Oreochromis niloticus: one gene and its partners. The protein of the gene in region 2 interacts with the protein of the main gene of each other region in a pairwise test. Links are inferred from orthologs where the notes say so. Each region holds a gene or a part of one and is shown on either strand. Other genes may lie near its edges. The genes, in order: zgc:100829, cep70, KAT8 regulatory NSL complex subunit 1 and gcc1.

Evidence for each region.
Region 1: the proteins of cep70 (region 2) and zgc:100829 interact in binary tests that used the Homo sapiens proteins (3 or more experiments, as listed by UniProt). The link is inferred for Oreochromis niloticus from reciprocal best matches to the Homo sapiens genes CEP70 and SH2D4A.
Region 3: the proteins of cep70 (region 2) and KAT8 regulatory NSL complex subunit 1 interact in binary tests that used the Homo sapiens proteins (3 or more experiments, as listed by UniProt). The two-hybrid records come from large-scale screens. The link is inferred for Oreochromis niloticus from reciprocal best matches to the Homo sapiens genes CEP70 and KANSL1.
Region 4: the proteins of cep70 (region 2) and gcc1 interact in binary tests that used the Homo sapiens proteins (3 or more experiments, as listed by UniProt). The two-hybrid records come from large-scale screens. The link is inferred for Oreochromis niloticus from reciprocal best matches to the Homo sapiens genes CEP70 and GCC1.

What each region holds. Positions count from the first base shown.
Region 1 is NC_031975.2:13,263,122-13,271,215, forward strand, and holds the start of zgc:100829 (SH2 domain-containing protein 4A), read right to left. Parts: upstream 3,028-8,094; 5' UTR 2,393-3,027; intron 1,705-2,392; 5' UTR 1,353-1,704; coding exon 1,166-1,352; intron 1-1,165. Other genes in the region: puraa (purine-rich element binding protein Aa), read right to left, coding at 7,895-8,094. UniProt on the Homo sapiens protein: Inhibits estrogen-induced cell proliferation by competing with PLCG for binding to ESR1, blocking the effect of estrogen on PLCG and repressing estrogen-induced proliferation. May play a role in T-cell development and function.
Region 2 is NC_031986.2:2,892,000-2,899,002, reverse strand, and holds the start of cep70 (centrosomal protein of 70 kDa), read right to left. Parts: upstream 3,056-7,003; 5' UTR 3,005-3,055; coding exon 2,927-3,004; intron 2,857-2,926; coding exon 2,757-2,856; intron 2,352-2,756; coding exon 2,228-2,351; intron 1,144-2,227; coding exon 963-1,143; intron 444-962; coding exon 292-443; intron 1-291. Other genes in the region: ribosome biogenesis protein SLX9 homolog, read left to right, coding at 6,331-6,501.
Region 3 is NC_031973.2:4,610,952-4,618,944, reverse strand, and holds the start of KAT8 regulatory NSL complex subunit 1, read right to left. Parts: upstream 3,008-7,993; 5' UTR 2,937-3,007; intron 1,233-2,936; 5' UTR 1,153-1,232; intron 1-1,152. UniProt on the Homo sapiens protein: Non-catalytic component of the NSL histone acetyltransferase complex, a multiprotein complex that mediates histone H4 acetylation at 'Lys-5'- and 'Lys-8' (H4K5ac and H4K8ac) at transcription start sites and promotes transcription initiation.
Region 4 is NC_031981.2:23,185,007-23,192,282, forward strand, and holds the start of gcc1 (GRIP and coiled-coil domain-containing protein 1), read right to left. Parts: upstream 3,020-7,276; 5' UTR 2,789-3,019; intron 2,660-2,788; 5' UTR 2,574-2,659; coding exon 2,208-2,573; intron 2,082-2,207; coding exon 1,428-2,081; intron 1,282-1,427; coding exon 22-1,281; 3' UTR 1-21. Other genes in the region: ADP-ribosylation factor 4, read left to right, coding at 3,870-3,936, 4,461-4,541, 5,238-5,347, 6,220-6,291, 6,383-6,508, 7,183-7,269. UniProt on the Homo sapiens protein: Probably involved in maintaining Golgi structure.

The DNA of each region.
Region 1 (8,094 bases), on a different chromosome or scaffold from region 2:
ATAGAAAGTGCTTTGATTAACCAAGACCAGACAGAACACATCACTGTGTCAATCATCAACTGGCTTTAAGTCATGCTGTGATATCACTGTGGTTTAAGTAACTGCTGCACTCATCCAAATAAATTAACTTTGCCCCTGTTGTTTGGATTAAGGTGATAGAGCAATTTGTTATGTTCATGTTGTTACGCAACGCCCTTCTTCCAGAAGTCCTTAATACAAAAGACGTACAAGAGAAAATGCAGACACGCAAGATTTTGTCAAACCAGTTTCACGACAGGCTTGCAGCTTCCTGAGTTTCTGCTTGTTTTGTTTTTCCCATGCATACTCTCACCACCTAGGTTGAGCAAAAGAATTTACCAAGTATGGGGAAAAAGACAGTATTTGTTATCATATCTTATGTCAGCACCTGATAAACACATGTACTCTTCGTTTAACTTGTAAATTTCCCTACAGAGGCGTTATTTTGCCATCTCCTCCTGTCCTGTGGATGTTTTCTTCTGACATTTATTTGTCATCAAATACAGAATTCCAGATATGAGCAACATCTGGGACCTCACATTGCAATGTTTCAATTGGAAATAAAATGATCTAATTTAGAGTTTCTGTCTGTGTGAATGAGGCTCAGAAGACAAGGAAATTAGACCATACGGTCAAACTATTTTCACCTTGTGGAGGGTGAAGCATTTAATAAAAAGTGCAATTATAACAGATATTTAAATAAAGATCTGCAATAGTTTAGGACGAGCTGTAGAAAAACAAAACAACCCCCCCCCCAAAAAAAAACAAAACAAAACTTATTTTGATGCTCACTTCATGTTTTGACAAACAGCTGTTCAGGTAATTGGGAGCATGCAAACTCCAGCAGCTTAGGATATCTGTCACAGCCAACGTACACATGCTTCAGTGGTTCCCTTATCAAGCTTTGTAACGCTCTATCGGATAATTCTCAGCACACTACTCATATATCTCGACTCCAAGGACTCCAAAAGCGCTTGCTCAGAAGAAAACAGATGGCTTCCTGTGGAACCTTTGTGAAAACGTGACAGTCGGAGGCCTGAAAAACCTGAAGCTGCACCCTGCAGCTTCAGATTCGAGATAAACAGGAAGAGGGAAGGTTAAAAAGGGTGAGGTGGCGGCTGTGGTGGTGATGGATCAGTGTGGTTACCTTTTCTTGGCTTTGCTCTCTTGGACTCTGCGTCGCCCCCCTCTCTCTCCAGTTTCTCCTCCCGCTCTTTCCAGCGCCGCACCTGCTCTTGGCGCATTTTCAGGAACAGTGTCTTTTTCTGCTCTTCGTTAAGGGCTTCCAGCACCTCAGGGTCAATGTACATGTCCTTTAAGATCTGCTGCAGCATGTTGGCGGCCGAAGGGTTGGTGCGTTAACCTGGTACCACTTGGCAAGCAGTTGAAGCTTGCTTCTCGTAGTGTACAGTGTGTAAGGATGATTTATGGTCTCATGTCAGCAGAGGACTTTTGTAGCTTCTTCTTTGTCCCTATAGTCACTCTTGAACTCATGAATTAAGGCTCTTGCTCTTTCTACACATGCTTTTGTACAGGCTGTACTATCTCACACATACAAACTCTGTCTGTCTGTCTTTCTCTCTCTCTCTCTCTCACACACACTCACAAATCCTGCTTCCTTTCTATATTGTGCTCAGTTTCCCCATCAAGATGTCAGATTTCTTTGGAGGTCATCTTTGGCACAATCTATGAGAAAAACAAAACACACAGTAAAGATCATCTTGCATGATTTTCAAAGCTGCAGTGTCTTACATATTTTCTTAAGAAACTTCTTTTCTTATTTCCTAGAAATATCTAAGGCAGTTGTCTTGTCCTTCCCTGCATGAATACGGAAGAGCCCAAAGCCAATTTCAACACTTTACAGAAAGTCTGCTACCCAGAATGGGAGGAGATTCCAAAGGAATGGGACTGCTTCTGACATCAGTGTCCCACCCTGCTCCTTCCTCTCCCCAAAACCATGTTCGTTTCTCTCTAAAACTCTCACAAGATAGCGGCCCCCCGCCTCTTTTTTTTTTTTTTTTTTTTTTTAAAACATGGCCAGTGTCTGGTTGTAATGAGGGATAAAAATCTGGGTCATAGCACTGGACAGCGAGAGCCAGGTTGTCTAACAAGAGGATTGAAATGGACTCCTCCAGTCACAGTGGGTAGTTAAACAATGGCTACCACATAGGCAGCACTTGGAGGGAAAGAAAGCTCGTCTCAGACTGAAAACTATCACACTGGTGGAATACAGATTGGTGTCTGCTAAACACACCGCAGGGTGCAGAGAAGGAAACCAAAGAAAACAGGGGGGAGGGGGTGAAGTGGAGAAAATGAGTGCTACAAAACAAAAAGGGAGTTGCAAGAGAAGGTTAGAATTTGCTGAAGTACTCACAGTGGGATGTAGACAGCCGCTCCACAGCAGAGTATGCTAACTGAGCTGAGGGAGTCACAGCGCCTGTGGGTCCTCCTCGTCTTTGTGTGTATGACTGAGCTGATGACATCACAGCATTCCATAATCTCTTTACCTCCCTCTCCCTTCCTCTCTCTCTCTGACAGCCTCTCTCTCTCTCTCTCTCTCACACACACACACACACTAAGGCTACATTTAAGGCCACATTTCAACTTCCTGAGTTGCTCTCAGGAAGTTGAACTCTCACTTTAAATATGCTAGAAAGAAAGGCATGCGTTCATGTTCATAACACACGTATTTTACATATCTTCAAAACATTTTCGCTTACACATATAATTCTACACAAACAATATTAAAAAAATGCAACAAAGAAAAAATAGCTCCCTTCCTCCTGTATTTTCTTCCCTTTTAACGACGCCTTTTAATTAAGAAATGCTATTTGCTAACGTTTGCGTTTAGCATTACCCAAAACTTTAGCACAGCTTCTAGCATTATGTGAAACAACCGATGTGCCTTCTAGGATTTATGCAAGTAACTGTTTGCTGTTCAATTTACCATGTCTGTTGATAGTTTGCACATTCAAGCCAGAGGAAATTTTCTCAGCTAAGCCTGTCCTCCTCTGCTTATGAGCCACTCATTTTTAGGTAAAGAGCGGCCTCTAGTGGTTAAAGCAATTACTGTGATTTTAAAAAAAGAAAAGGAGCCTGCCATGGATTACGTCACCACCCAAGCCAGTGCTCAACTACCTCAGACTACAGCACTAAATGAAAGCTGGATAAAAACTGGTGCTTGTGCACACTGACCGCATGGCTCCATAAATTTCAACTGCAAAACAGCGTAAATATACAATGCATGCAGACACCTGCACCTGAAAGGTAACGACAGGCAGGATGCTTTTGTAGCAAGCCATTTGTTATAGTCAGCGGTGACAAAGTGCTCATGTGATAATGGTCATGTTTCAAAATTAATAAAATGTAAGTTCTCTCATAGATTCAAAGTGTGGCACCTTGGATCAGACTAAACACCATCAGAACACTTTACAATGTGTTTTATGTTTAATAAGGGAATTTTTGTTTGATTAAATGGGGTTTATCCTTGTTTGGATGCTTTAGTCATGCTGTGACGACAGAGACCAGTTCTCTGTGTAGATTCTGGGATGAGGAGCAAAGTCGGAGTGTAAGCTGGCATCTGGGCTGGAGTCCATCTCGGTATAGCACATCCACTTCAGTTCTTTCACCCTCCATCCCATCCGGCAGGCTGGGACTATCAACTAACAACAAAGCACAAACATACATATGTCCTGGAGAAATACCATTTGGGCATGTCTAGAGAATGGACCTCGCAGCTCGTTATGCTGTATTTACTCTTATGTGGGTTCTGCTGATAGGAGACTGGTTGAAGCAATACAAATGTACTCCATGTGGATGGCCCAGAAATAAATCTGCCTCTATGCTCCATGATTTAGGACCTAGAAGCAACCCAAAGGGTGCTGCTGATATCACTTGGCCAATTTTCAGAATTTACATAATGATAATTAACATTTTCTATGTCATTTCATTTTATTAACAGAATTAAACCAAGACTTCAACTTGTTACAGGGAATCAGTTTTACTTATAAATAGCTATAAACTCAAGAATACTGAGACGCATCCTAAAAACATTTGGAAGCAACTTTAAGCTTTTCTTTAACTTTGATTTTTAGCTTAAATCCGACACCAAACGTATTAAAAAAGAAAAAAAAATAAGAAAGAAAAACAATCATTACAAAAATTTAACTTAAAACATGTGCAGGTTCTGTTGGGTCACGATCAATAAAGTCTTATTTTTTTGGTTTTTAGATTAACAGAAAAACTCACAGAAGAGCAACTGTTGCATACAGATGATCACAAATTGCATAGTCGGGATAGTCAGAGAACAAAGTAACGCTTTATTTTACAGCCTGGTTTTACACATACAGTACTATTGTAGAAATCTCTAAGAAGACATGAGTCATCAGGTACTCGCCATTGCAAAATTTGCATTTTATAGGCTGTAAAATTAAGCTTTAGCAATTAGTATCATTGCAAATGTATAATCAGACATTGTAGACAACACTACATAAAAATTAAACAGACTTTTCAGTGATTTCCCCCACCCCCATCCCACAACAAGAAATGAAACATGAAAAACACATACATTTTGAATGTAGATTTTTTCCCCCTCATGGGTAAATTAAATTTATTCTTTTTTTATAATTTGTCAAATGTACATAAATTATATTGAATGCATCAAAAACCAAATGAGCAAATCAAATAACCTCATTTTTTAAATAAAAAGAGGTAACAGAAAAGAGAACAACATTCTTTGTTGAGATCATTTTTAAACAAGTATTGGTCAGGCATTTCATTAACCTGGGAAAGCAAAGTGCTACACACAACAACCACTGAAGACAGTTCACCATACACCTTAATGAGGATTGGACTGAAGCACCTTTTCTTAGCTTAAAGCTAAAATGGAGATTCCAGGGATTTTTTTTTCTTCTTTTTAAATTTTCCTTTTCACAAAAAAAAAAGAAAGAAAAAAACAAAACAAAGAAACAAACAAACAAAAAAACTCCATTGTATGTTTACAGTCTACCTTGAACAAACCATTAACCAAGTTTACCCTTTTCCTTGAGAGGGGCATACTTGCAGGGACAATGTTCGATTTCAAGTTAAAGTACGTACGTGAACTGCTTGACTCAACAGGCTGCTAAGACCTTGGTTTACTATATTTTCCTCCAGGATGGAGCTTTGTGTGCAAATAAAGGCGTACAATTCCTTCATGAGAAATAAACATGGAATTCAGCCATATGCTTTCAAATAGTAATCATATATTTAATTGATATACATATATTGCCACCATTGGCACATATGATATTGCACACAGTGATGAAATGTTGCACAGAAAGAAAAAAAAGATATTTTTGTGGGCAAAAACATTCCAAAATTACAAATAATGTGGAATAATGCTGAAAAGGTAAAACTACATAAAAACAAACAAAAAAAAAAAAACAAACAAAGAAAAAAAAAAAAAAACACAAAACAAAACAAGACATGCTTGCTACTCCCCATTAATTGAGCAACTTACAACTTACACATAACTAACCCAAGCCATAAAACGAGCATTTTAAGGGGTGGGGTGGGGCTTTCCCGTAACAATTGATACCATTTCAGGCCACTACTGATGTTCCCAATCAGCCCCTGCTCTCCCTGCTAATGCACATGGCTGGTGAAGAGCCATCTCTTCTGCATCATCTTGCATCTAGGTGACCACCCCCTTCCATGTTTACATGTAGGCCGATACCTGGATGGCTAGGGAATGGGGATGGCAATAAAGTCGAGGGGAGGGAAGCTGAAAGGTAGCAGAAAAAAGTTAAGAATTCTGCTCCTATTTTTCTAAAGAGTTTGTAACAAACCCTTTTAGCACCACGAGTCGTGCGCTAGCACACAAGGGGGCTGAGACACAAGAAATAGAAGAAAGAGGAGATTTGAAAAAAGAAGTAGAAGAAGAAGAAGAAGAAGAAGAAAACAAAAAGAAGCCATAACTGCGATCCAAAGCACCAGGCCAGCGTGTAAGCATGCGGAGTGTGTAAGGCACCAGGTTGTTTATATGCTGAAGAGGATGCTCCCAATCAGGTATCATTTAGGCTATACCAAAGGCTCCAAAAATAGGTGGTCAAGGACAGTCTAGTTTGCTGGTTTCCAGTCAATCTAAACATGGGAGCAATCATTTAATTCAATGCTGAGGTAAATCTGACATTATCTGATTGTTGCCAGTTTCTCTGGAGTTTACTGACAGAGTTTATAAAACTGCTATCACACATCTATGAGATGCGACTGAACTGGATTAGAACCAGTTGTTTTCCGTGTGGCAGCCCAAATATTTACAATTAGACCAGAACAGAATCTCATCACCCCAGGTGGGTATTTGGGCTTACAAATCTAAAGCAGAGCTATGAGAATGTATCCAAAGTAGCCCCACACTGAACTTCACACCCTAAGATCTTAAAACGCAAGAAAGGAATGTGCACATCCAATGACATAACAGACATTCACCAACAGGTGAACCAGGCTGTCTTCACCTCGGCTAAGCCAGGCAAGCGCCTCAGTGGCCCTCCTCATAGTGTGATGGTGACATTTCGATTACTGTTCACAAGGTCGCTGCTTTTACAATCATGCTTTGAAACAACTTCCACTAGAACTACACCGAGCCTTTTGGATGGTAATCCCCCCCCAGTCCTCGAACTTGAGATTCATACAACATAGGCAGATAAAGATACGTATGGAAGGGTCTTTGAGCCAATATTTTGGGAGACCAACGAAATCGTAGTGCAGATAAACATGCAGCAACAGCACTCCTTGGCACCATTTAGACTTTTATGACTAAACAAGATCACAAAAAGTTTGTTTCATATGTACTAACCGATTGCGCTCTTCTGGTTTTTACCATGCCAATCAACACAGTATATTCAGGGTCTTTTGCCTTGTTAAATAATCTGCAGTTCAGGCCATTTGCTACATGTTGTCTCTGCATTTCCTCTATCAAATACACATTTAGTACCTTTAAACTGAACACATTGCATTAACAACGAGACACAAAGGTAGTCTATTATATATCCATCTGCATGGCAACAATTTCAACTGAAACAAAAGTTACAATATTAATATATCTTTGAATGCCTCTGGCAAATGTCAAGATCCAATGACCAGTTCCTTATATGCAATGCATATTGCACAATAAATAGAGCACTTATTTCATTTCATGAAAATGCCTACACGTTCCTTTGTTTTGTTTTTTTTAATATATATATATATATATGTACTGCATGAAATCTTATCAGTTTCCGAAGCAGGCCTAGCCCTCATATGATTTATGTGTAAACACCTCTCTACTCACAGGTAAAGGTAAATAGGATGGCAAGTACATGTGACAACCTTTTACAAAGTTTTGGAATTTTGGTTTAAAAATTAAAACATCTGATTTGTGCTGAAGTCATTTAACTCACATGAGAAGGAAACTTTTTTTTGTCTCTCCTTTGAACTCGGCAATCATTCAATTTGAACATTGCAAACACTTTTTTTTCCTCTCCTCTTTACAATAGCTTTGACTGGTACAAAAGTTTTCTGTTAATAAGGGAAATAAACAGTTCAATATCGTTTGTCAAGTAGGAAACAATGTTCAAATATAATGTTATTACTTTGTTTAGCAGCCTGTTACTGTATTAATGGTGGTTAAGTGGGGTAACATCCAGCGATGAGTGACAACATGTCATAACTGTCAGGTCGTGGAGGTTTCTTATATTGTGGGTGATGCTCCCTTGGTTAAACCAATACAGTTAAATCTTTAGATTTCTTTCATTATACAGTAGAGTGTTTTCTTTTAATTATAATTCTCTTGTTATTTTCATTACTCTGGCATGTTTTTTTCCTCGCTCTTTTTTTCTTTTTTTGTTTGCTGTCTATATCAATCCTCGTCTCCATCGTCCTGCTGCATCTCCTCTTGTTGCTGCAGCTCGCATGCCCTTTTCTCCCGCTGTTTCTCCTGGATCTTCTTCATCTCCTCGGCATATTTACAGAAAGTATTCCCAAATTTGGACCACACTTTGTAGGGCACTGTAATTGAGTTGCGGTACGTTGGCTTCACCTCGCTTACCCTCATAAACA
Region 2 (7,003 bases):
CCAAAAACTCACAGCATGTTCCCGTCTGCATGTCTGAGCACGTCTGGGGCACGGGCCTGACTTTTGAGCACGGGCCCTGCTACAACATGCCATGCTTGACTGATGTAGATAGGCTCACTTTCTATTGGTATTCTACAAAAACCATGTTGTAGCAGTATTTGATATGAGCCCTCCTCTACAGATCTGCACAACCGTATGGCTGACTGCTCCCTACCCTAGACAGTCTAGAACAGACTTTACACACTGTCCAATGATTTTGTGTGTGGGGTTTTCAAATAAAGTAGTTCTTACTGTTGATCTGCAGGAGACCTCTGCTGGGAGGTTTGACGCTGCAAAGCCAATCGCTGCTCTTCTTTTTTGGTGATGAAATGGAGTTTCCTCTGAAGCTGGGTTGCCTCCTCTTTCTGTTTCAACAGCTTTTGCTCTAGAACCTCACACCGTCTCTGAAAGTATGCAGAAGGTTTTTCTTTTACCAGTACACAGAAAATGCAAACCATTGAAACATGAAACATTAATGTTTAAATGTGTGCTCTATAAGAAAACATACAGTTGATGAAAATAAACACCTAAATTCATCTTAAAGAGATCAGGGTAGCCTGTTAAATGTTAGGGAAACAGCTCAAGGTTCAATGTTAACGTTGGGGACTCGGGAATATCTTTGTTCATTACAGATAATATGTTCACATCATGTAAACTTCAGCAGACACCTGGAGACGTCTGCTTATATGAATTATAGTGTTTGTTCAGTGTTTTACATGCACAGAGCTGTTCAGCATGATTATGACTAAGTCTTCCAAAGGAAATTTAATGAACTTGGTGCTGAGTTGGAGCTTGAAAGAAAAAGAATACAAAGAAGTAACTGTGGCTTTGAGTGCTTGTTCCGTTTGTTTTGACTCTTTGTAAATGCCCTTTTGTTAATGTGAAATTTAAAGGAGTGTGAAATAAAAAACTGAATGACTCACATGTGCTTCCAGTTTTTCCTTCTGCAGTTGCTGTGTGTGGCTGTGCTGCTGGACTGCCTTGCTAAGGTAGCGGTCCTCCAGATCCTGGACTCTGGTCTTCACCTTCTCCAACAGTTCCTCCAGCTCTGTGACCCTCTGAGACTGCTGAGCTGCTCGGCTCATGTGCTCCTGAACCTCCATTCTAACAACACACAAAGCAAAGCATCTCTGCACCTGCTGACTGCAGTTTGTGTAGTCCTGAAGGTCCTGAAAGGCTCACCGAATACTTTATTGCAACATAACTTCAATCTTCTACGTAAAATTCTTAAAACAGAATCAACAAGTTAAAATCTCAAAGGGTGAGGAAAGAAGAGCATGTGTACCAAGAGGAATGTGCCAGACTCTTACTCTGGATGGCATTACCATGTCATCTAATAACACTGTGAGGAACCTTGGAGTCATTTTTGACCAGGATATGTCCTTCATATTAAACAAATATGTAGGACTGCTTTCTTCTATAGACCTCGCTGCACTGAATCATATCTGTTATTAATCTCTGTCTCTCTTCCACAGCATGTCTTTATCCTGTTTTCTTCTCTCACCCCAACCAATCACAGCAGATGGCCCCGCCCCTCCCTGAGCCTGGTTCTGCAGGAGGTTTCTTCCTGTTAAAAGGGAGTTTTTCCTTCCCGCTGTCGCCAAGCACTTGCTCATAGGGGGTCATATGATTGTTGGGTTTCTCTGTTTTAATTTGGGGTCTTTACCTGACAATATAAAGCGTCTTGAGGAAACTGTTATCATTTGGCCCTATAAACATAAAACTGAATTGAATAGAGCTGAACTGTTGGAGAAAAGCCAAGCACCAACAGAAACTGCCTGACACTTGGTGAGCATACATACTCCATCTCAGCAGTGTGCCACCCAGTCTCACATTTCATGCCTGTACTGGTCTGTGAGGATCAAGACATGTGTGTTCCTGATACTCATCTGATGTTGGAGAGGTTAAATGACAGCAGGACAGGTGGTCTACACAACACTGCATATACATTATTAATATCCAGCATGTGTCACTGAAACAGACCCCAGCTCTCCTACCCACGTTACAGGACAGTCTGAGGTTCAGTCCGGTAAGATGACATTTGTGTGTGACTGCAATAATGTCCGGGGGGGGGGCTATTTACAGTTTCCATGTTTAAACAGATAGTTGCAAACATGTTGCACTGAAAACATCACTAAATAACATCACATTATCACTTAGAATTTTTCTTACACAGTGCCGAACTTACTTGAGCTGGTTGTTGGACATAACAAGCTCTTGGATCAGGGCCTGCCTTCTCTCGGAGTCTGTGAGCATCATCCTCAGAGTTGTCCTCAGCTCAGCAGCTGACTTCTTGTCCAGAAGGACCAAATCTACAAACACACAGACAGCCGTATACATTACTTATCAAATCACACTGACTAGCCTCTTAAAGCCAAACATTTTTGCTTAAAAATCAAGGTAGAATTTATAGAGAAGTAAACAACAAAAAGACCATTTAAATCATTCTTTTCATTTAAAGTTGCATGTAAATTAAATCTGTTGACATTTAACACAGTAACTTAATTTACTGAACAGCATTGATCAGCTACACTTTATATTGTTGAGCCACTTTATACATCCTGTCTTTAGTCAGCTGAGTAAGCCGTTTTAAATTCTGTTTTTTGTTTCCATTTGTAGTTATTACAGTTTTCAGCCTCATACGATTGTTCACTTTCGACCACCGTAACACGTGACCTTTGATAAAGTCTATCTTATACTCGTACTTTTATTCTTACCTGCAGGACTCTTATTCTCGGCGGGATCTGCAAAAAACACCGGTTTAAAACCATGATGTTGTAAACGTTTGTTCACGTCATCCCACTCCACTTGTTCCTGCTGCAACACACACAAACCATCACTGACAGCGGAGTTCAACACTTTCCAGTTAACAGAAATACAGCTCTACCTGAAACTGCTTGTAGCTCCACAGATAAACATATGTTTGATTTCTTGACTGTAAAGCATAAGTAGTCCTGACGTCCATATCCACGCGTAAAAACGTCCCACTCAACGTAAACCCAGCTTTCACTAACAATGCAGCTCGTGTATCTGAGAGTGGTCGCTGAAGCTAAGCAGTGTATGAAAGGCGACCCAACAACCCTGCAGCCTCGGATCACCTTAATCATGCTGTTTTAATACGTAGCTTACCTGTTTCATCGGTTCAGTCTACAGAAAGAAATCAACAAGTGTCCAAAGGGCTTCAGTGAACAGCTCTTCTTTTGGCGTCTCAACACAACTTGGTAATCTTCGTTTAATGTATTCTTTAATCAGCCAAACCACATTCATTCACCTTAGACTTCCTAAAGTGGTTAAATTAAGTCCTTACTGTAAGTACTTCCTGTAAAAAGTCGATAAATAAACGTCCAGTTAAAAATATAATCCTAATCAAGCAAACAGGCACAGGCAGTGTTAGCAGCACTAGTAGCTAACAAGTTAGCGTTGGCCCTGAACGTTAGCTTAGCAAATATTAATGTAGTGAACAAAGAAGGCTGGTACCGATAATTTTAGTACAAGTTACCAGCTGTTGATGTACACTTTGCTCATTTTCAGTCATCTCATACAGAAAATATGCTCCTTCCGTCATTCAAATAAGTGCGCGATGTAGTGATGTGTCGGTCGCGAACGAAACGGCTCTTAGAGCCGACTCTTTGAAGTGAACGACGCGAGCCGGCTCCTTATTGGGAGCCGTGTTTTTTTCTTTTCTTTCTCTCACCCTCTCTCTCGCACTTTTTTCCGCTTCTCTCCGCACGCGAGCCTTGTGCTTGCGCTGAGCAGAGGGGGGAGGGGCGGTAGTTACACTCGCAGTTGCACAGGAACAGAGCGGGAGGGAGAGACAGAGAAAGAGAGCCAGGGACAACAACGTCACATTAGAAAGGTATAGTAATCATCCACAACTATTTTCAGTGGCAGATGATGAAGGATTCAGAAAGTTTATTCATGCAGCCCCATATGACAGAGAATGTGCATCTTCTTTTTGTTTTCATATTTTAATTTATATTTAATTGTGTTGTGGTTTGCAGTGTTTTGTTTTGTTTCACTTTAAATTTGTTTAAAAGGAAAAAGCTGAAAATGTAAATTGTTAAAAGTTGAAATGTAAATAGTTGGTTTTTGTATTTTATAATTAATTTTTGACATTTTATGTGGAGTGAATAAATAAAAGAGACAAAGAGACAAAACACGTACAAACTCCGAAGCACGTACAAACTCCGAAGCACATACAAAACACAACAGAAGTGCTCCAGGACGCTAGGGGCAGTGTTGAGCTTTTGTTACCTAGTGGCTACACAAGCCAAGAAGTACCAACGACCGGATTTGGTGTGTGGTAGTAACAGGTAAATGAACATTTTTTTTAATTATTTGAATTTTTATGAGTGCTTGTGCATAAATACACAAACAATACACATATGCTTTCAATTGTGTAATTTAAGTGATCTAGGTAGCTCTGTTTAGGAAGGTTAGTTAACGTAGCAATGTGTTTTGGAGTTTGTACGTGCTTTGTCTCTAGGGGCCACCGTATATATTTATATGTAAACATATAAATAAATCCAAGTTTTTTTTTTTTACATTAGTAATTTCTTTTGTGCATAATTTTACATTGTTTTTGATAATAAATTAATTAAAGCAACAAAACAACCTGAAGAGCCGGTTGGGAGCCGAAAGAGCTGGTTCTCTAAAAAGAGCCGGAATTCCCATCACTAATTACTGCTCTGTGACAAAGCAAAGAGCAGAGATGACAGTATTGATTCAAGTTCATTTGTTTTCATTACACGAGTGCACACTTTCATTCTTAGCCTCTCTAACACAGTTGAATCTTTGCATTGAATCTTCAGTATATTACAATAAGTAGCATTTAACCATATGCACCTAAAGTACCTATACTTAGTCAAATGTGTGGTAAAACAACAGATAATGAAGTTAAGATATTAATAAAACATATGTAATAAAAGCCAAAGCTGAAACTGAATGAGTTTATTTATTTTCTTTGTATGCTCTGTAAGGTCTGTGTCTGTAAAGGCCCTGAATGCTGTGATGTAAATAGTAAATGATAGGGAAATAATTCTCACAGAGTTCATAAAGTTGGTTTATTAAATCCCTGCTGATACTTTGCTGATGTTTACATTTTCTATTCATTTCTTTGTGCGTAGGTTTGTTTGATCAACTTGGACTTCTCTGGAGATGAGGACACACCCACATCTGTTCCTACCATAGTCATAGAGAATTTTACGACTTTGGCAGCACATCAGTCACCCACACAGGAAAACCTGCAACCTGGACTTCATGTGGGAGAGACTGTGTCAGTGATGTTTGACTCTGTCCTCTACTTTAGTCCCTAATCTCTTTCTCCTTTAACCCACAGTTCAAACCATTCCAAAATTGTCATGCACAATTACTAAATAGGACGTCTGTAACGTATACACATTTGTACTTTTACTTGTTTCGTGAGTTATATTTAAGAAGACTAAAATTATTCGCATAAATAAATGTTTTGTCATACTGAATTTAAATGTGCAGATGATGTGAATATGAATTGGTTGGCTACCTCTGTGGCTTACTTCCAACTATCGTATAAATAGAAAATAAAATATAAAAATACGTATCAGAATAAAAATATAAAAATAATAGTTAACATTGCAACTCGAGGAGAGTGTACAAAATATTTATTTCATCAAATCAAATTATTCAACAAATTTAAGGAAGTAATTATTTTCCTATTTTCTAAAAGGTAAAGAAAAAAAGAAATAAAATAACTTGGTACTAAACCTTTTGGAAATTATACCAATACACACATATATATACATATGTATATATATATATATATATGTATACATATATATATATATATAATATATATATATATATACACATACATCTTAAAGTTTTGGAGAACATAACTTTTGGAAATTAGTATGACTAGGAACTTTCACTCCTCCTCGTTTTACACCGAGGCACTAAGCTGGTACACCAGCCGTCTCAGAACTACTATAACTACTTCCGGTAGTTATTACCAAAATAAAATATGTTTAACCTCCTTATTCGCTCTCTAAGTCAGTTAAAGTGTTAACACCGTCGATGGCAGCTGCGATAACAGGGGGGAAGTTAAGTACGCGGCGTGTTTTCTGTTAGTGAAATACCAAAACCTTGCTTGAGGCAACATGTTCAAAGGAGAGAAAATATTTTTGAAGGCGAAACAGAACTATTTCCGGTATTAGCATAGACGACTTGACCTACATTGCACGCTCTTGAATGGAAGTATCAACACGAGGGAGTTCGTGTAAGAAGTGGACTTAAAGTTGGTTCGGCGGTATTAAAATGGTTGGGAAGATAAAATATGTTCGGCAGAAGCTTCACCACGAGGCCGTAAAGGTCGATGGGCCGATCGGCTTCGCGCAGCACGGCTCACTGGTGTCTTCTACCGTACAGAAGGATCCTGGTGAACTACTCACAGCAAATTTAAGACTGGGGAGCAAGCCTCACAGACAGGTGTGTGTTTAAAACCATGGAGATAACGAACAGTCAAAATCTGTCACTGCCACTTTGTTGGAACGGACGTGACAAGATCAACCTTTACCTGACTGAAACTCTTCAAATAAGCCATTCCTCTGCAGATGATCTGTTAGCTGTTTGACAACTACTCTTTCAAGGATGTTTGATATGAAAGGAAGGTTGGAGATTGGCCTATAATTAGCTAAGACAGCTGGGTCTAGAGATGCTTTTTAAGTAAAGGTTTAACTACAGCCACCTTGAAGGCCTGTGGTACATAGCCGATTATTAGAGATAGGTTGATCATATTTAAGATTGAAGCATTAATTAATGGCAGGACTTCTTTGAGCAGTTTTGTAGGAATGGGGTCTAAAAGACACGTTGATGGTTTGGAGGAATTAATTATTGAATTACTGAGTAACTAAGTACCAGCTGGAGAAAATCCCAGCGACCATTACACATAGAGACAGACAGTCATTCACACCTATGGGCAGTTTAGAAT
Region 3 (7,993 bases), on a different chromosome or scaffold from region 2:
TAAAAGAGAAATTCAACGTAGTTCTCTACTGAGAAGTGTTTTCGTCTAGAAACGGCTCCAATCGATGTCTGGGAAACTGAGCTGAGATGTTTACAAAGTTACATTATATCTTCTCTTGTCTCACTGCCATTTAAACCCATTAATAAATGAAAATGGAAAAATATGTGATTTTAGATTGTTTCAGTAACTCTGATCTCCTGATGCTTGTTAAGTAATAAGATGAATGCACCTCACTTATTCTAACAGGTCTTGCTGGTCTCTGAGCATGATCAGACTACCAGAAAGGACATGCATTGCAAACACTTCATTATCTGTGTGTCTGTGTAAATCAGAGGGAGGAAGAGAGCGATTGTTCAGAAAATTAAGGAGGAAATAATGGAGTGTTGCAGAGAGAATACATTTTTAACAAATATAACTGAATTTTAATGGTTATAGTGATAAATTTAGATGGAAAATCTGTAATTTTAGATTGGCTTTAATCTCTGATCATTTCTGAATTTTTTTTTCTTTTATAATAAAGAATATCATTTTCAAAAAATGTTTGTTGTTTTTATAAGAATATTACACTTTTTACAAGCCTAACTTTTTCAGTCAACCGGTCCTGTCACTAGTTTCATTTCTGAGAATTTCTGCATTTTTTTCTTGGAAATGTGATTGCCATTTCCTATTTATTTACCACTTTTAAAAGTGTGATTTTCACCTCCTAATATTACTTCTTCCTTTTGTTGTTGCTTTGTCTTAACCTAAAATGACCTCCGCAGGTCTTCATGGGACGTGAACTAAAAACATCACTAAAACAAAACAAACTGGCCGATCTGTGACTGTCATAACTGGCAAATACCCATCCATCCATTTGGTCCTGCTCCACGTTACAGCTGATGCAAAGATGTCTCAACTTCCTTGTGCTCCTCCTAGGCGATCCCTGCAAACTTCAAGGGATTCCCACACTTCCAGGGATATGTAATCCATCCCACTTGACCAAAATACATCCACAGGGACATGTCCACAGAGTATCCTAATCAGATGCTCTTCACTCGGGTCCTCAAAATCCAGGCTACTTATATCCCTGATGTGATCTTATCTCCAAAGCCATAGGGTGGCTGCAGCACCCCCTGGCTTTAAAATAAAGATAAATGCATATAACAATTATACCTTTAACTCCATTGTCGATGAACTCCATTCAATAATCCAAGGGATCATTTTTCCGGTTTCCACACATGAAAACATGACACCTAAAATGAAACAAAACAAACAAACAAACAAAAAATAAGATCACTTGAATCGTATTTAAAAATTTCAGACAATACATTTAACTATGACGGCGTAGTAGGAAAAGATACAGGGTTAGGTGATGTACGAGCCTCTAACTCTTGTGGAATTTTTTGTTTGTACATGTTGCAAGTTATAGCTGCTCCCTTATTCACAAGGCCCTTGTTGGGCCATGTTGTTGATTTGGCAGATTTTACTTTTTATTTTACTTCAGTTCTTATGCTAAATGCCAATCCTGATGCTATAGAGAAAGAAAATTGGAACTGGCAAAAAAAATTCCATAAATCAATCGATATCAGCACATTACACTAACTAAAAAAAGTTGTAAATTAACGAGAAAAAAAATGGGGCAAAATTTTGAGGAAAAAAATGGCAAACTTACAGGGGAAAAAACTGTGGAACTTTGGAAAATTGCCCAGTAAAAAATGGACAGAACAACCCTTAAAATTTGGGGCAATTTAACACAAAGAACAGCTAATTTACACAACAAACGTGTGGCTAATTTCTGAGGGGAAAAAAATGCAAATTAAAGAAGGAAAAAAGGGATATTCACAAAAAAAACCTGTAGAAAGTTTAATAGAAAAGCAACGGAGAATTAGGATTAATTTGCAAATCTGGGACAATTAAAAAAAAATGTAACAAACAAACAAAACGGAAAAATGAAAACAATGCCAGAATTATATGAAAAACAAGGCGCAGTGTAAGTAAAAAAACAAATAGATATAAAATTGGCACTGTATGAGAGCGAAGCAGGACGTATGTATGTATACATGACGTTTTTCAGTGCTGTACACTGTTGAGGGTCCGTGCACTCCTCCCATCGCCTGCTGCACGTAGACCTGCGCTGCAGCGTAGTGAATATGAGTTTGTAGCTTGTTGTCTGCCTTAACAACATACTTGGAAGGAGGTGTTATTGGTCTTTTATTACAAGGAGTTCAAATTTCTGATTTTTTTTTCAAGCTTAATGTTCAAAAGTGAAGCAAAGTCGCTCATTGACTAAAAATAAACACTATTTCTCCTATTTTTCTCGTTAATGCGCGACTTACATCTCGGAATTTGAGCGTTTTTTTCTGAATTATACCCTCTTCGCCCACCCCCCTATTTTTTTTCTAGGACTCGGTCTTAAGTAGCGTCTCCCCAGCTGTTTATTTTTATTTATTATTTATTTATTTATCTGAATGTCCTGCTGCCACGCTAACGCTAGCTAAAGCTAACATCCACTAACGTTATCGTTGCAAATTTTTATAATGAAAAAGTTTTAAATGTCGCCTAATGTCAGCACAGCGGTGTAGAAATTTAAACGTAAGTTTACAAAAAAGCGGCTCCATCACTGAACGCTGTGTGAAGGAATGCGCCACTGGAGATTTATGCCATAATCAAACAGTAGTTTCTCCAGTTGCGGAGCTAACAGGCTAATGTTTGGAACTCCCAGGCTGCCAGATAGCAGCCAGCTGAGCTAGCAAGAGATGCTAACGCTCGCTAGCTTGTTTGCTTCCCGATCCCACTCTGACTTCTCAATGACTGCTGCACGTTTAGCAGAAAAGTGCGCTTAAAAACTCCGCCAGCTCAAGCCAAACAACCGGGGGCTTAACGGAATGTGTGTTTTTTTCCTGCCAAGCGGAGCGTTCATTTATTTTAAGAAAATAACAAGACAAAATCTTACTTACCTGCTTGTCCTGTTACTAACCGTTTACGACTCCATAATACCAGCCCCCCCTGCGCTGCTATTGGTCGAGAGTCCAGTTCGAGGCTTTCTATTGGCTCCTGCAGATGTCAGTCTTTGCAAATGCCCGTACAGCGGAAATGTGGACGAAAGTTCATAGCATGAAACTTCATTATCCCAAAATATATTGTTTTTATTTGAAAATGTTTCACAACTTACCCGTCATTTATGGAGCACACCTTTTACTGCGCCATTACACGACTGTTCTCACTCAAATTAACTACACTGTCTCCCATTTTGATGCTTTGTTTTTGGGGACTACTGCTTAGAAATGAGCCACTGGTTTTCACTGCACAATAAAAAACCGCAAACATAAAGCTAATGGCAGCGCATGAGTTTGTTTACTATATTCTGTTGCATCGTATTTTTAAGCAGATAAGAGCTGGCGGGGTGATATTTCACCGGTGAAAGGCACAATAGCGGGTAAATCCCTCACAAGAATGGAGATTCACTTGAAGCTGCTGATGCTTACTTGCAGGCAACGGAGACAGGATGGGTGGATATATAAGTCAGTGAGGCAGCATTGTGCTGGCTGCATGAAAATCCAGCGGTTAGCATTGCAGAGGGACAAACTGTGGGGCTGTGTCAGTAAAGCTTAAATCTGACCTTTCTCAGGTACGTGCAGGGGGAGTGAAAATGACTCAGGAGCAGAGGCCTGGCTGAGGGTGAAGCCTTTTCAACATTTAGAGCAGGGGTGTCAAACTCATCTTAGCCCAGCAGCCACATGCAGCCCAGTTTGATCTCAAGCGAGCCAGACCAGTAAAACCACTGACAAGTTTCCCCTTTCTTTAAGCGTGAAGAAGCAGACTTTGAGCGCAGTCACCTGGGCAAGATTTTAAAAAGCTGAAACCATAAGAGTTAAGCAGGTCCCCATACCCCACTCTATTAAAAACAACCACAAAAGGCAATTTTTAAAAGAATAAATGCAAAAATAAAAATATATCCAAGTTACTCCGCATTCAGTGAGTACAGTGTAATTACATGTGCGTTACAATTTGCAAATCACCTTGGAAAAAACTTCACATCTGGAGTTTTTGTAAGTATACTGCTTCAGTATTTTACAGTTTTGTGGTTCAAACAACTTGAAAAACGTACCTTTTCATGCATTTTCATTTCTGTGTAGTCAGGCGAGCATCACCACATTTTACTGAAAAACTGCAGTTGTTAATGAATTCACAGTGGGACCAGTGGGACCATTTGGCAGCTGGTTCTGGCCCCTGGGCCACATGTTTAACCACTGCACTGTATGAACTTTGTAAGCATCCTTTTCTCCTCTTTTTTTTTAATTCAAATGTCACCATTTACATTTAGAAAAATGCATCTTTTGAGGAGGTATTTGAGGCTTTTCGCATTGCCAAGGCTTTTCATTCCTCAGCTGCTGAATTGATATATGGCTATCTTCTACGCCTCTTACACTGCACTGAATTTAAATATGAATTTCTATTCAAGCCAGTAAATTAATAATCTGGCTCCGAATGTGAGGCAGACCTTAGCCAACATCAGTGCTCGACCTCACTGTTGTTGGTAAAAGAGAAATATCTGGAATATTGTGTGCTCATTGATGGTCATGTGGTCAAAACTTCAGGGACACACATGCTTCACTTATCTACACATCTATGAGATGCGTCTGTTATTCTGAAACCAAATACATCTACAGCATGAGGGTAAAAATTAACTCCCTACAGACCAAAACTGTGGGCCTGACCCAGAAAATCCTTTAATAAAAAAGTGCACCTGTCCAAATTTAAGAAGCTGGAATCCTGACCAGAGTGCAAGACCTCCTTTACCCTTCTCCCTTGAAAATTTGACATAATATTACCAGGCATTATTTTCTTGTTAATTTTTTTTTCTTGTAACAAATGAAAAGGTGCAATTTCAGCTGAGCATTCACTGAGTTTGCTGTCATCACATGGAGACATACATTAAACTTTAGAATGAATACAACACTACTTGATGTCTTTATGACTCAAAAAACGTGTCTACATCTAGAAACACTTTTGACTTCCCATAAATTTTGACACTTAAGTAGTAGTGGAAAGCCATTCAGTGGTCCAGTTTTGGCAGGCATGAAAAGGATGAAGATTGGAAAGGTGGCTGGTCCAGATGACATACTTCTGTAGGTATGGGGATGTCTAGGAGAGAGGGCAGTGGACATTTTAACCAGGATGTTTAAGGAATGAGGATGAGCGTACTGGTACTGATTTTTAAAAACAAGGGCGATGTGCAGAGCTGTAGGACCTGCAGAGGGAGGAAGTTGATGAACCATACCATGAAGATACAGGAAAGAGTTGATGAAGCTAAGTTAAGAAGAAAGGTGATGATGGAGAAGTATAGAGAAGGTCAGAAGGAGCTTCACTGGGTGAATGAGTGAGAGACAGGTGTAACAGTGCAGTTGCTGGAAGCAGAGGTAGTGATGGTGAATAAGTTTAAATACCTGAGGTCAACCATCTAAAGCACAAGGGAGGTGACGAGGAGAGTGCAGGCAGGGTGGGTTGGGTGGAGGATGGGTGTTAGGGGTGATTTGTGCCAGAAGGAGCAAGAGTGAAAGGGAATGTTTACAACATGGTAGCAAGACAAGCAGCGATGCATAGTTTGGAGACAGTGGCACTGACAAAAAGACTGGAGGCCGAGCTGATGTTAAGATTTTCTTCGAGAGTGAGCAGGATGGACAAGATTAGTAATGAGTACATCAGAGGGACAGCTCAGGTCGAGCAGTTCAAGACAACGTTAGAGAGCCAAGGCTGAGAAGGGCTGGACATGTGCAGAGGATGGAGAGTGGATATAGTGGAGAAAGGATGTTGAAGATAGAGCTGCCAGGCAGGAGGAGAAGAGGAAGACCTCAAGGGATGTTAATGGATGTTGTGAAGGAAGACATGAAGAAAGGTCACAGAGGACGATGGTAGGGATAGGGTGGGATGTAAGCAGAGGATCTGCTGTGGTGATTCCTAAAGGAAATACCTGAAAGAAGAAGAAGAAGAAGGAGAAGAAGAAGAAGAAGAAGAAGAAGAGGGCCTGTTCTGAGCCCCGTGTTGGATGTTTGACAGCCTGGATATATTACAGGGCAGTCAAATTTCTTGAAATCATCCACCAAATTTTAAACAGGACCTTACGTGGACTTCACTGCACTATGAAAACACTTTATTATTCACATGACATGCTCACATTTTCCAGCTGCATTATCATTGTTTTTATCTTTTTCACCTTTTCAGTTTTCTCAATTCTTCCTTTTCTTTGTCTTTTCTGCAACCTTTCCACCTTCATTTCAGCTCATCCTTCCACCCAGCTTCACATACGCACTTTTAGATTATGTACAGTGGCACAAGAAGTTCATGTTTTACTTATTATTATTTATCACATCCTTTATTTGTGCAGTAGATTTTTCAAAAGATATGCCGACAAGAGGGCAGCTGAGATTATAACAACTATAAACTTAAACAATCAGATAAATACAGTGTTAACATCATTTCAACAGGGTTAAAACAGATAAACAAATAAAGAAACTTCAGTAAAACTTTATCATCAGATCAATAAATAAACTCGTATGTGTGAGTGCTGTACTGATTTTAAATCAGTCTAAGGTTTACATATAGACGTACAGGAATGACCGTTTAGTGGCTGCATACAGAGAACAGTGGTGGTCTACCAGACTGCTTTAGCCAGTAATAAAACAAACAAGTGCATAAAGTCCAGTTTGATTTAAATGGGTCACATAAATAAGCCTGTTTAATAAAAATATGTTCCTCCAAATAATGTATTAGTAAGTGGGCTGGTTCTTGTAGAGCAATTTTCTATTCTACTCAAGTTCTCAAAGTGATTTATACAACTGACCTCATTCGCCCATTAACACAAGCTTTTCTCATTAACATTCACACCCAGGGGTTCACTTGTATCAGTATTACATCCAAGGATACTTTGGTACAGGGATACAGGAATCAAACCATGAGCTCTACGGCCTGAGCCACAGCCACCCACCAAAAAAAAAAAAAAAATCATTTTCATAAAGTGCAAGTTACAGTAATTCAGTAAAGGAAGAACAGCTGAAGAAATCAAGTGTTTCTTCACTTGGTGATAGAAACAGGAAACCTAATAGGAGGCTGTCACAAAATGTTTTTGTTTTGACATTTAAATGGTTTGGGTGTCTGTCTATCTGCATTAACACCAACTTAAGTAGTGTTAACTGAGAATTAACACCATTAGTCTTCAGGATACCGTTATCATAATGCTCTGGGCTGAGGAGCATATTTCAGTTAATCCTCTGGAAAGTTCATTTTCTTTACCTCATTTTACCATCGGTGGTTCATCTGATGTGTTGGCCTCATAGGAACATGTAAATGTAGTTATAGGGAAACAACACTAGATGGCGCTGAGACATCACACACATCACCTGACTGAAGCTGGGCCCTGTAAAACTGTCACTCAGATATTCACTATGCACAAATGTGCTACTTTTAATTTGCTTTTATAATCAGCATCCAAGCATATAATGCCTGACTGCATGCATGGCGAGTCTTAAACATGTATAGGGGGATGAAATTCAGTTCTGTTACATTTTTATGTCATTAAAACTGCATCTTCATTTACTTACAGCAGTTTGCAGTTATAGTTAACCACAGGAAAAATTATAAGTGCGTTCAGCTACAAAACAGCTTGATATAATCCTTTACTTAAATGTGTTTCTAAGTATTTATTGAGCTAAAAAATATTAAATTCCCACATTTTTCCTTTAAACGCCTCTTTAGGTAGATTTAACTCTGTATAATCACTTTTCTCAGACCGCTGAGCAAAATTGTTTAATATCTGCAGCATATTCTTCATTAAAAGGATATTTTCAACTATAATACTAATGAACTGAAAAATGCTGCACCAAAATCCATCTCACACCCAGAGGAGCAGTCAAAGACTCCTCACAGAAAGTCCAATTTCAGCAGTCGTACTCTTTTTTCTGCTGAATTTTAATTTGTAAATTGTAATTAGATTCTTTTTAATTTAATTTTAGAACAG
Region 4 (7,276 bases), on a different chromosome or scaffold from region 2:
GTGTTTTCTTCCTCAGGTACTCTACCTGCGTCCCATCCACCAGGTGCTGCCCTGCAGCCTCATGACATCATGCTTCTCCTGCGGGCTGAAGTGCAGGATGGTGAGAATGGCAGTGAGTGTCTGCTGGCGCCCGTTGGCGTCATGCAACGTCAGAAACCGGTACACAACATTCTTCAGGTACTCCATGTTGGCGCCCTCGCGGCTCTGGTCCCGGATCAGTTTTTCGAGGCGGTCACGCAGGGCTGCCACCTCCTCATCATGATGCTCTGCGTTTGCAATGAGTCGTTCCTGCAGCTGGCGCGTGTCCTCCTCCAGTCGGTTCTTCTGCCGCCGCAGCGCGCCCACCTCCACCTCCTTACGTGCGAGCTGCTCAGCGTACAGCAGCAGTGTTGACTCATTGGGTGTGGCCTGCCGCAGCGCCTGGCTGATCGCGTCGGTCTCTGTGTCGGGGCCATTCTCTTGAGGGTTGGTGGGTGTGTTGTCAACACGGTTGGACCAGCTGAGTGTGGCGGCAGCAGCCCGCAGCCTCTCCAGCTCGCGGTCCTTCTCATCCAGCAACGCCATGGTGCGCTCACGCTGCTTGTGAAGCTCTGCCTCCAGTCGCAACAGTTCGTCACGGTGGAGTGCCTCCAGACGCTCCGCCTCCTGCCGGTGTGCCTGCTGCAGCGACACTGCCTGCTGCTGGCGCTCATCAAGCTGCTGGCGGTGGTGGGCCTCGGCCTCGTCACTCTGCACACGCAGGTTTATGTACTTCTCACGCAGCTCGGCGAGCTGGTCGCGGACTTCCTCCAGTTCCCGCGCCTGGCAGCCATCTTTGGTGTTCTTGTTCTTCAGAACCACCTGCGCACGCACCTTGTAGCGCTCAAACTCATCCCTCAGCTGCCGCAGCTCCTGCTGATAAGCGAGGGCTGCCGCCGCCGCATCTGAACCCGGCTCCACCTCCAAGTCCTGGATGTTCTGGTCGGGGTTCCTCTGAGCCGCAAGGAGCAGCAGCTTCTTCACCTTCTGCAGCTTCTCCCGCAGCGCCCCCACGTCCAGTTGCTCATCTGGCCCGAGGTCAGAGGTCGCCCGGCTGGAGGCAGCGATGGCGAGTGTTTTGTTCTCCGTGTCGAGCTGCAGCACGCGATCACGGAGCCTCTGTGCTGCCTGCTGGTCACGCTGCCTTGCCTTCTCACACGAGCCCAGCAGCTCTGACAGCTCCGATACACGCTGCTCCAGGACCGCCACCCGGGCCTCAGCCAACTGAGCACGCTCATGAGCACGCTCTTCTGCATCGCAAACCTGCAACACGAACACAGAGATGACCTCACTTCCTGTTCTAGTTTACCTGGTCTGTTAGAGCTTCAGCTGTTTAATGTGGTTAAACCAGATTCCCTAGGACCTGTTTTATTGGGACTTTGTTTAGTGGGACCTGGTTCTGGGCTCACCTTGCGGGTCTCAAGCTGGACCTGCTCCTGGACCTGGTTCTTCAGCTTGTTCAATTCTTGCTGCAGCTCGTCCACTCTGGGGTCGGGTATTCGTTGCTCCTCCTCGGCGGCCTGCAGCCTCCGCCTCAGCTCGTCTCTCTCTTCCTTGACTTGGTTCAGGAGAGCCTCGGACTCCGCCCCCCGGTCCACGGCCTGTGAAGTCACAAGCAGGGCGGTGCTGGCATCCTGGAGGTGGAGCTCGGCGTCCTGGCGGAGGTCTCGCTCGGCCTGGAGGAGCCTCTGTAGCTCGCGGAGCTGCTGAGCGTGGTCCCCCTGCTCCTGCTCGCGCTCGTGCTGCTGCGTAATGATGCGAGCGCGACTTTCAGCGAGCTGCTGCTGCAGGTTGTGCAGTTCTGCCTCGTGCTGTGTTGTCATGGAGACCAGACGTTCCTGCAGCTCTTCAACTTCCTGTTTCAGCTGCCGCTTGTCTGCCTGGAAGCTCGCCTCCATTCGCGACTTCTCCTGCGTCACCGTGGCCAGCGAGCTTGTGAGCGTGCTCAGTTGGCTCTTCAACTGGGCGACTCTACGGTCTGCCTCCATGCCGGGAGGGGGCGTAGCCTGCTGCTGTTCTGTCCCCACGCTGCCACTCTCAGAGCTGCCATCGGGTTCAGATCCCTGCAGAACAAACATGGAGTCAGAGAATAAGACATGACATTATCAGAGCGTTATGGTGATGATGATGATGTCATCAAGTTCTGACTGTGTTCTGGTGATTTAAGTTCAGTTGTCAAAGTAACGTACCACCAGCCTTCCTCCCAGTTCTGCCTGGTCCTCCTCACTCTGGTCGCCTCTTGTAGTCTCGCTGGCCATGTCCAGAGACGCCGCCATATCCACGCTGTCCTCGCTGTGCAGCGAGCAGCCATCCTCGGTGAGCTCCGGTGTGGCGGTGGCCGAACCCTTCTGGGTCAGGTCCAGGTCCTGGGTCACGCTTAGGACCTTAAGGCTGGCCTCCAGCGCCTCTTTCTCCTTCAGGAGGCTCTTGTAGGCCCGGACCACATCCCTAAAGCGGGTCTGGTACTGGATCAGCTGCTTCTTCTGGGACTCCACCGTGTCCAGCAGCTCCTTCCTGCTCGGACCGCCACCAAAGCTCATCCCGAACTTCTCCATGACCTCGTCCAGGTCTGACCAGGTCTGTCCAGGTGAGCCTCTGATCACAGACACCAGAACATGAACAGAACCTTAGCATTGACTTCCTGTTAGAGGGGAAACAGAGAACAGCTGTTCAGATCACTCATCGATCAATTATCGATGGATGGTTTCTGTGAAGCTGAAACTTTGTGCTGGAACACAAAAGAAGAAGGAGGAGTAAAACAGTTTCTCACCTCTTTCTCTTTCTCAGTGTTTGTTTCTCCCTTTGACTGATTTTTCCGCCGCTTTGATCGTCTCTCCTCACACTGCGCCGACAAACCGGTTCGATGTGGATCACAAACTCGCAACCTGTCCGTCACAGGTGGTCAATAATCGACCCAATCGATGAGTGAAATCCGACTCAAAGCTTCATCTGTCAACAGGCGCCATGTTGGACCGAACCGGAAGTGACTGAGACGGAGGAGGCGGGAGTTTACTACTTTGTTCACGGACGTCAGGAAAATGCACAATAGGATGATTTTTTTTTTTTTTAGCTGATTTAAATTAAAAACTCACTGATTTAAATTAAATAAACAGCCAAACACAGCCAATAAAGCATATGTATATATATATATATATTATTATTAATATGTTTAACATTTCTGAAAGCAATACAGTATTTTGAATTGATTGTTTATTGGGAGAAAAACATTTTTTTCTTATTTTGTACAAATTTTAGAAATAAACTATTAGATTAAAAAATAATTTTATTAGAAATTAATTTTAACTTTGTTGGTTGATGATTGATTGAAAATATTTTCATGATTCCGTTCATTAAATTCTGTTCTTCCGTTCTTCAATAGAAAACGCTTTATTATTCTACACACATATATGTTTTTAGCACTGTCACAGAAGCAGTACGTGTGTATTTCACTTTGTTATGTTCTGTTGTATAATGACGTGAACATAGTGACATATATACATATAAATTAAACGTATTAATATAAATGGCTGTCCCGGAGCCGAGAGTGTTCCTCGCAGCCCATGAACTTCACTTCATGCGCAGAGCTCGAATGTACGGTGTTTGAGCGGACAGTGAACGCCGCGGTGTTTGCTATGCTGTTAATAAAGTTGTTGTTTTTTTTAAAGCGCAGCAGTGACGTCATTTGTTCCGCGTTGGCCTGGACGTGGCACCGAGAGGAGCTGCGCCCTCAGTTCGCTCTGCTCCGCTCCGCTCCGCTCCGCGCCTTCTCGGCTCCATTCCGCTGCTGCTCCCGGACCTCCGGCTCTACCCGCCGTCAGTGTGTGACCTGCCACCGCCTCCTCTCCGCAGCCATGGGCCTCACAATCTCGTCGCTGTTCTCCAGACTGTTCGGGAAGAAACAGATGAGGATCCTGATGGGTAAGCGGGGGCTAGGCTAACGAGCTAACGGGCTAACCGGCCGGGCTCCGGGGCGGCTGCAAGCGGCTCCGCGGGCTCACCAGCACCACACACCGTCTCATTTTACCAGGAACCCGCTCACCGAGTCCTGCGGACCGCGGGCCCGATCTTCCCGTGCAGGGAGAGGCAAAAGTCCGGCTCGGAGAAGCAAGAGGCTGTTAGCTCGGAGCTAACGGAAGGAAGCAGGCTGATAACAGTCCGTTAAACCGAGTTAAATTGGGGTCTAAACGGGGGTTAAACTGGGTTAAGATGTTTTAATCTGGGGTTAAACCTAAAACTGTACCGGTGTCATCTTATTAAGTCCATAAAAACCATTAAACCCGGTTTGATCTGAGCTTTAAACCAGCAGCTGGACTCTGATCTAGGTTTAAGTAATCTCAGATTAGTCTTTATTCACTGTATGAGGTTTAAGTAATCTCGGGTTAAACTTGAACCACTGTGAGACATTTAATTAATCTGGGATTAATCTTTGATGTGTGTTTCAGTCGGTTTGGACGCTGCTGGAAAAACTACGATCCTGTACAAACTGAAGCTCGGAGAGATCGTCACCACCATCCCCACCATCGGTACGTCATCAGGACTCAGGGACCAAATGAGGTCATGTGATCAATAATCAGCCGACTGTGTAGTCAGGTGGTTTGAACGTGGTATTGATCAGATCTGATCGGTTTGAGTGAGGATTCCCCAGGCGTGCTGGCACTTGCACTATTTTCTTTAAACTTCTCCTGCGTCTGCGTCTACAGGTCAAGTGACCTTTTAGAATAAGAGTCACCTGTTAGTTTGAATAAATAAGGTACCAAAACAAGAAACATAAATGATGAAAGTGCAGACACACACTTACAATGGTGAAAACAAACGTTTAAAGCAGGTAAATACAAGCTAAACTTATACACACCACCAGCGTTTACACAGCTATAGATATGGAACCATTAAAACTACAATCATGGAGAAATGAAACATCAACGTTTATAGTCAAGTCATCCTCAGTCTTATAGTTTCAGTTTACACAGGTGTCTCCTCTGTGCAGGTATTTCAGTGCTACTGCTTCACTCTAACTTTATATACTGTTACAGTCACTGTTGTACTGTGATATTTATTGTTGGTTCCCAGCGGGCTGATGGGATGTGTAGTTTCCTGTCAGTGATTCTGTTTCCTGTGACTTGGAATGTTTGAAGGTCATTAAAAGCTGTTTTTTTTTTTTTTTTTTAAATTTGACAAAGAGTCACCTGTTCACAACTCTGTGTGTGTGGTTGTGTGTTCAGGCTTTAACGTGGAGACAGTCGAGTACAAGAACATCTGCTTCACAGTTTGGGATGTTGGCGGTCAGGACAAGATCCGACCTCTGTGGAGACACTACTTCCAGAACACACAGGTACAGAAGCAGAACTCTCAGGTGCAGGCAGGTGTGGGACTTTTCTCTCTCTGAGGAACGAGATGTTCAGGTTGATCTGGTTCAGTTATGTTTACCTGGGCATTCATGAGAAGTTTTCTTCTGTGACCCCTCACTGATCTGATCTGTCCTGAGATATTCATCTATAGTAAAATCCTCATTTATATCCTCTATCTGATCATATCTTTATATCCATAAAGCTCTTCTTTAGCAATAAGTAACATAGAATAGAGTAGAATAGAATAGCATAATTTATCAGAACAGTTAGTGCATATTTGAATGAAGTTTCAGTGGATTTGCTGTCCATTGAAATAATTCTATATAAAACAATCTAAAAGTATAAAATACATAGAAGAATGTCAAACGTGTGTACAAATAGAAGTGACATTTATGTGTATATGCATGCTAGTAAAAGAAATGTTTTATTGAACAGTAATAAAGCAGCAAAACAACCCAGTGTACAACATCATCCTCATTCCAGATGTTCCGGCTTAAATATATAATCAGTAAAAAGTCTGGGAACTGCTTCAGAAACGTTTTGAAGCATAAATATTTTTTTTTAATCGAACTTTCAGTAAGAAAAGCAACTGAACTTAAATAAACAATTTCTTCAGTGCTGTGAGAACGTCAGGTTTGTGTTTCCACAGCTTTACAGAGGTGCTGCAGGAAAATCAACAAAGTCAAACATGAGTCCTAACACGGCTGCATTCCCCCTCAGAAACACCTGAGGAGCTTATTTTAGATCCCTGACTCTGCAGCACAACACACACAGCACAGACTTTCACTGTGGGCAGGATCCATTAATCACTGTATTGATGTATTAATTGTATCGATGACTGATGTATTGATCACAGGGTCTGATCTTCGTGGTGGACAGTAATGACAGGGAGCGAGTCGCCGAGTCGGCGGAGGAGCTCTCTAAGATGGTCGGTCCCTTTGATCACTTTACAGTTACGCATCATTAGACTCATGATCGTCATGGTAACCACTGACTGTATGTCACATGACTCTGTGCAGGTCCAGGAGGACGAGCTGAAGGACGCGGTACTTCTAGTGTTCGCCAACAAACAGGATCTCCCGAACGCCATGGGTGTCAGCGAGCTCACCGACAAGCTGGGTCTGCACAGCCTGCGCAGCAGAACCGTAAGGATCAATAACCCATCCGCACTGATCAGTACTACAGACTGAGTTCTGTTTCTCATGTTTCCCTCCATGGTTTATTGACTGATGATCTAAGTTCTCAGCTGTTTTTCTTGCTCAGTTCTGTAATTGTGAAATCAATAATCAGTCAATCAGTATACAAAACAGGAGACAGTGGGGTGACCTCAAATGAGCCCACAGCATTGGTCTGGGGGTGGAGCTCTGAGCACATCAGCCAACCCAATATCGCGACAAAGCTTCATGTTGAAGCTGCAGTAATCTGCACTACCAGCAGGAGGAAATGATATATTTAAAGCCAAGATGTGGGTAGTGAGCAAAATAATTCCATTAATCATCAGAATCGATTAAGTTGGGTGGCTGATATGGATGTACATGTAAAAGTGTTAATAATGTCTTTGTAATCGCGAGTATTTTCATGTTGGCTTGAAATAAAATATCTCCCTCTGCTGGTAATCTGTGATGTCAGTGCCAGTGGGTGGAACCCTTGGGTTTTAATTTTATAGTTGCATCCTAATTGGTTGTTAGAAAATCCACTCAGGGGTCTTGATGTCACTGTCCACAAACTTATGGAGCTAAATCTGTTTAGACAGTTAAACTCACTTGTGTGTGCTCCCTGTACCTGCCCACTCACCTGTGATGATCTGTGTGTGTTTCAGTGGCACGTGCAGGCCACCTGTGCGACGCAGGGCACAGGTCTGTACGAGGGACTGGACTGGCTGTCCAATGAGCTCTCGAAGCGTTAAACCACCT